2 linked regions of the Nothobranchius furzeri genome follow. The protein of the gene in region 2 purifies or fractionates together with the protein of the main gene of each other region. This does not show direct contact. Links are inferred from orthologs where the notes say so. Each region holds a gene or a part of one and is shown on either strand. Other genes may lie near its edges. The genes, in order: trmt61a and trmt6.

What was found.
Region 1: the proteins of trmt6 (region 2) and trmt61a purify together in Homo sapiens (affinity purification with mass spectrometry; 4 studies listed by BioGRID and IntAct, counting the BioPlex papers as one, with this or other methods). This does not show direct contact. The link is inferred for Nothobranchius furzeri from reciprocal best matches to the Homo sapiens genes TRMT6 and TRMT61A.

What each region holds. Positions count from the first base shown.
Region 1 is NC_091758.1:10,828,531-10,831,149, reverse strand, and holds the end of trmt61a (tRNA (adenine(58)-N(1))-methyltransferase catalytic subunit TRMT61A), read right to left. Parts: intron 1,278-2,619; coding exon 964-1,277; 3' UTR 581-963; downstream 1-580. UniProt on the Homo sapiens protein: Catalytic subunit of tRNA (adenine-N(1)-)-methyltransferase, which catalyzes the formation of N(1)-methyladenine at position 58 (m1A58) in initiator methionyl-tRNA.
Region 2 is NC_091742.1:22,627,226-22,631,152, forward strand, and holds the start of trmt6 (tRNA (adenine(58)-N(1))-methyltransferase non-catalytic subunit TRM6), read right to left. Parts: upstream 2,235-3,927; 5' UTR 2,061-2,234; coding exon 1,957-2,060; intron 1,828-1,956; coding exon 1,688-1,827; intron 1,575-1,687; coding exon 1,465-1,574; intron 1-1,464. UniProt on the Homo sapiens protein: Substrate-binding subunit of tRNA (adenine-N(1)-)-methyltransferase, which catalyzes the formation of N(1)-methyladenine at position 58 (m1A58) in initiator methionyl-tRNA.

The sequences.
Region 1 (2,619 bases), on a different chromosome or scaffold from region 2:
TAGAGGCTGAAAACAAACAGCTTTTAGGAGCAGATCAAATATACATTTTTAACAAATGGAGTTTATTTGAGAAACAAACAAAAGATTAGGATTTGAATTAAGATGCTTTATAACCCAGCTGATTGGCTGTTAGCGTATCGGTTTGATCACAACCGATCTCCTCGTCTCCAGACTGAGGCTGTTCAAATAAACACTCCTTCAGTGACTCGAATGAAATGTATCTGATAAGTGAATCCGAGCAGCATCAGCTGACCCGGTCCACACCAGAACAAGCAGGTTGGAGTCAGGAACCGCGCGTTCCTAACCCACAGGGCAGCTATCCCGCTTTCCCACCAGAAACAGGATCCGATTCTGGAAACTCCGGAGACAAACTGCAGCTTCCAGACTCACCGGATCAAAAACAGGAGTGGGAATTCTCAGCAGATCCGTCTGTGGAGGACCTCTCAGACAAACATCAGCAGCCTTCAGGAGGCAGCAAACGCTTGACCAGAACTATGAACGGAGCTTTTTCACACACACCAGCTGCTTTAGGAATTAGACGATGCGTTTCATACTTTTAGATCCAGCACAGACTTCATCGTGAAAAAAGAAATACGTTTTATTTTCAAATTTCACAATTTAGTTGGGCTGCAGGAGGAAACCCTGCCCAGAATCCATTAGGAAGAATTCACCTGGTCACATAAACAGAAGCTTGACACGAGTCACAGTCCTGCTGCAGCTTTACTTTAATCTTTCAAGAGGAACAAGGGTTCGCTGTGAGCGTCCCAACACAGCAGCTGTTAAACAAAATCAACACAATTTTACTCTTTCTTGGTGTTTCGAAGCGAAAACACCCATAAATGAGAGCAAGTTTTAATCCTGACACAGAAGCAGAAACAATAATCTGAGTTATAAACAAACTAAACTGCTGTCAGGCGCATTTTCCCTCCTGCTTGATGCAAGCAACAAACGACTCGGCCAGCCTCAGGTTCTGGGTTTGGTGGCAAATGTGAGGTACCCCGTGTGACCCGGCATTTCTCTTGGTGGCGTGGTGGTCTTCATGGTGATGGAGGCGTGGTTTACACTAGGAGTGGGAGGGGCCTCCTCCTCGGGTCCGGGTTCAGTCTGAGAGGAGGGGTCTGGCCCAAAGTCGGGCAGAGGAAGCGAGACGGTCCGGACGTCGTGGATCCTCAGAAGCACCTCTACGGTGCTGATCTCCTCAAAGGCCTGATCCGCCAGAACCTCACAGGTCCTCTGGACCTGCTCTATGCATGGGGAGAAGGAGCACAGGTGACCTCCTGCAGGAGACAGAAAGCAGACATCACTGCACATCCTGGGGGAGTCAGACCATGGTTCTACTGATCAGTCAGGTCTACATCAGCATGTCCCATGTGGGACCAGAAGAACAGATGAAGCAAACAAAGAAAAAGGACATTTTATCTCACTCTGGGGAAACTACTGTCAATGAAACTGGGTCAGAGCAGATAAGCACGATCACAGCCTCAGGAGAACAGACCCGGTGGTTCCCGTTTCACCAGGAGACGAGCCGGTGGTCTAATAAACCTACAGACCACCTCCTCTAATCTCCAACGACACCCTGAGGTGTTTGCAGCAACTGCTCAACAGATGGCTCCCCGGGCGATCGGAGGGGCTGAGCAGGGGGAGAGCTAGGCTTAAGAACAACCTGCAGCTCAGAGCCCGAGAACAAAGATGGCTCCACGTGTGTGTGTGTGTGTGTTTCCTGCTCCAACAGCAGAAACCAGCTGATGTGTCGTCAGGGCGATGGAGGTCATGAACCTTCACAATCCCGCCTCTCTGGACTATGACCCGATTACGGTTCTGTGTTCTGACTACAACGCACTAAACTGCTCTGCTGGCATTCACGGGTTTGGGTTCAAATGTGTTTCTGTGTAAGCGTTATAAATAATTCATATCTGTTGCCGACAGCTGAACAGCCTCTGTTTGGAGAAACAGTTCATATCATATATAAAAAAAACTGATGAGCTAACAGCCTGGGTGAGTGAAATCTCAATGCTTAAATCTACAAAACATTTATTCTTATTGTGCAAAATAAAAGAAAATCACAGAAATTCATAAACAAGCCAGACTAGCGGTTAGCTCGTCGGTCCTGTAGAGTTCTGCTAACTCGGCTGTTCAGGATCAGAGTATTTATGCTTCAGAACGACTGAAAGGTCCCTTTAAACCATACATGTGTTGCCTCCTCTTCAGAGTTTAACTCTTCCTGATGATGTCATCCACCAGAGGTCCTGAAAGACCAGAAGGCAGCGTGGCTGAAGAGCGCTTCGTGTCTTGTAACCATCACAACAACCCCCCAATCAACGCAAACCCCTTCTCTTAGCAACACACACACGAGAAGTGAATGTCTACACCAGGGCGACTCCAACTGCCCCCCCCCCCACCACCACCACCACCACCACACACACACGCACACGCACGCACGCACACACACACACACACACGAAGTTAATGTTTACACCAGGGCGACTCCAACTGCCCCCCCCCCCCCCCCCCCACACACACACACACACACGTGAATCAATATGAAAAAAAAAACATTCAAACTCATTCATTTGTTTCTTGTTCAGGTTTAACAGCTAGTTTAGAAAAAGCTCTAATTTC
Region 2 (3,927 bases):
AATCAACTTCTCCTCCATGTTTGCTCGGAGATGTTCAGAGCATCCTGTCCACTCATTGGTCGGTGAATGAAACCTCTTGTTGATTGGTCCTCGTCCGAGCGACAGCGATGAAAAGTTGGAAATATTCAACTTTCTGGGGTCGCGTCGCTGGGTCGCCTGTGCACGACACGTGCAAAAGTCCAGAACCTCATAACCTCTTCAGCAAGCTCCCTAGAGACATTGGACTACGCACAGACTCTAGAACCCCTGAGCCTGGGATCAGTGGACTCAGTGCTCTCCTTTAAAAAGCAGCCGAACCTATTAATGCAGGCTTTTGCGTAACCTCATCAACCCCCCCCCCCCCCCAAAATCTGCACTCCCCAGGATCCACTGATTTTTCTCTCTCTCTCTCTCTTTACATTTTTAATCACAATTGTCCATTTTTGCTCATTTTAAATATATTTTAAAACTTTTTCTAAATGCTTGTTTATATTTTTTGTTTTCGTGAAGCACCTCGTGATTTTTATCTTGAGGCGCTCTAGAAATGATATTTTCTTCTTCTTCCATGTTCACACCCAGAATCAAACCCAGGTCTTCTGCATGAGAGTCAGACATCTTACAAGGTGAGCTACACTCTAGTAACATACACAGTATCTGTAACTTTTATATCCTTGATGACAGCTGAAACAACGTCAAACCAAAGAACGGTTCAAAGCGAAAATGGCTATTTTGTTGCTAATTTGCAGGAAATATCTAGAAGAAAGTTCTACAGAAAGTAGCTAAGGGTCCTCAGAAATGTAGCTAGTTTGTCACTAGGCGTTAGGAACAGCGACAAAGTGGCACTGCCTCTCTCTCTGCTGCTAAAGCTACTGATAGCAAATGCTACGGGCTATGCCTGAGCGTGAACGCGCATGAAGCAGCCTGCTCGACCCGAGCATCTCTCTTTTTCTGTGATTTTACAGAAAAACAGGCAATCACAGTAAAAATGCCAGGGCTCATTCTACAGGACCAGGGCATTGCAGGAGAATGTATGAAGAAGACATTTATTATTTCTATACATGTTTTGGCTGTCAAACTTCCATAATGTCCCTTTAAGTAAAATACCAGAATGGTGGGCACAACAAGGAAACTAGGACATGGCTTCCTTTTAACACTTTAACCACGTTTAATGCGAGCCGTTTATCTGAAACTCTACCAAACTACAAATGCAGAATTTAACAAAAAGAAAATTCTAAAATTCTCTTCCAGCAAACATATGCGCTGCACTTCTATATATATAAAAAAAAAGAAATAAAAAAAGAAACTTTTAAATCATTTTAAACTATGTGCAAAGGCAGAAAAGTCTAAATCTAAACAATTAAATTACAAATGAGCTGACCGATAATAAATTGGGTTTTGCATGATTTATGTGTCTGTCTAAGCGGCGTTTAGTCACAGCCACTTTCAGACACATGACTGGATCTGTGATTAAAGTTAGTAATGTACCTGACCCTTCAGGCCTTGCTCTTTCAGCGTCTCAATATCATCTCTGGTCAGCTTCTGTGATTTGCCGTCATCAACAATGTTCCTGTTGTCCGTACCTGCCACCTTTACATCTAGAATCAAACACAGAGTACACAGTTAATCCTGAAAAAGAACAACATGTTAACAGTTTTGTCTGAAGAAATCTTGAATCATACCTATTATAATGTTATTATTGGTGCTATACCTGCAGGACTTTCTGTGTCCTGTTCCTTACGGTCCTCCTTTGGCTGCAGGTTTCCTCCAGATACAATCTCAAACGTGGTGCTGTACAACTGTCCCACTGCATTATCCAGAAATATCCACTGCTTCTCAAAGATCACCTTCCTGTGTGTAAATGACCTTTTAATAGCGTCATATTTATGCACAGACACTATATAAGCGTCTATAACCAAACAAGTTGAAATTAAAATACATTCACATATTTATATCTACGTGGTTAAAGTTTTTACTTACTTCTTTAGCTGAATTTGCACAGCTTTATAAATGTCTCCACGTTTTAACACAACATTGTCACCCTCTTCGATTCTGTACTGATTATCGTCTTCGTTCTCAGCCATAATAAACTGCTCAAAACAATCCTGTTCGGTTAACTTTATATCAGCAAAATAAAGATAAAAAATAGAGGCAAAGATAGGATAAGGCACTAATTTCTTCTGGAGAACTAGAAAATACTTTACGTTGTTTAACACACGTGTTAGCACTCTTTCCCTAGCCTCCCAGGATGACTGAACGAAAACAGATTTATCTCAGAGCAATGATCCTGTAAGCGCGCCTGTGATTGGCTGGAAAAATGTCAAAGCGATTAACCAGCCAATAAGAGCAAAGTGTGAGTCAACTGTAGATTTCAGAAAAATCGATAAACGAGGAACTTCACGATGGCCGTGTTCGAATTTTTATTTTATTTTATTTTTTTTATTTAGGATATTGGTTCGTTAACAATACAGTCAATATACACAAATGACTCAATATCGGCCGTGTTCGAGTTGAGCTGCGCCTCGCCTGGAAAACTGAGAGAGCAGACGGAAGCAGCAGGGGGAGTACACCGGACAGATTTCCCTACATTTGTAGCTCGGAGGTGATGACGATGGCTGAAGATATCGCGTTACCGGCATGCACTGCTCGCCGATCACCGGTGATCTAATCTGCGCAGAACTGGCTCACCTCGAACGCAGCCGATGCTTGATATGATCTGCCTCATTGTACTGAAATTATTGTAAACCTGTGAGATACATCAGATGGGAAATAAAAAAAAATGTTCTGCATTATTGGGAACAGTGTTAAATAAATAAAATCTACGGCTTTTTATAGTGACTATTCTTTTGTGAATGATTTATAACAAAATATAAGAACTAATTTAAAAAGCCCAAACGAAACAAAAGTGTGAGTTTTCTTTCTCATTAAAAAGACTAACCTATGATACTTAAAACACTGTGATCTGTGTGAGTGTATATAGTAAACATATGTTTCAAATAAACTTGTTTTCAATTGTTTTGTGACAAACTCAAATAAAAATTAAAGTCAACACTAATTATTTCATTAATGGAACTGTTTTGCCTTCTTATCAGAGTAGGAGACAAACTGCAGGAATGAAAGAAATAGGAAAATCTGTAGAAAAAAGTGTTTGATTTTAATCATGAAAAAAAAACATGATTTTTTTTCTTGTAAGTAAAAGAAAAGGTTTTTGCTGAGATATAAGACTGATAAATTCACTGGTTAAATATGTCCTGATCTGCACAAATATTCGATGGAGCCAGTTTTCTAATTGTAATAAATAAGACACATAGTTTGCTAATTTGTGTGGAATAATTGTAATTGGGGTTTTATACCAAAAGCATATTACTGTGCAGTAAAAAAAGTGGATAAAATTAAATAAAATTATCAAAATAACAAAAAATGGCCTATAAACTGAATTTGTTTTTGAGGGACTATTTGTATGCTTCATGCTAGAAATAATTTGATATACTAAACAATCATAGCTTTAACAAAGGAAGGAGACCTCTGAGTTTTGAAAAGTGAACTTTGTGGCAGTAGTTCACCCTGGATTAGACTGTATTTTACATGCATCCAACACATAATCGCAGAAGAGCAACAGATTACAGATGGCCTGTTTTACAAATATTGCATTTTTACTACACTTCACTGTTTGGAGAATGAGATTATTTAGAATATGAATGTAATGTGTGTAAGTAACGTTATTTAAAACCACTGTAAGGATTAGTTTTGTTTCTTCTATTTTCCTAAAAGAAAGTTGTCTAATGAATGTAAAAAAAATGCAGCTTCTGAGTAACTTCAAATCTTCTAAGTTTTAAGAAACCAATCACAACTATATATTTACATCAGCATCACTGTTTTCACACACGTCAAAATGAAGAAAAGAAAAGCAAAAATAACATTGCTCTGTGTGTAAAATGTGTTAATTCCAGT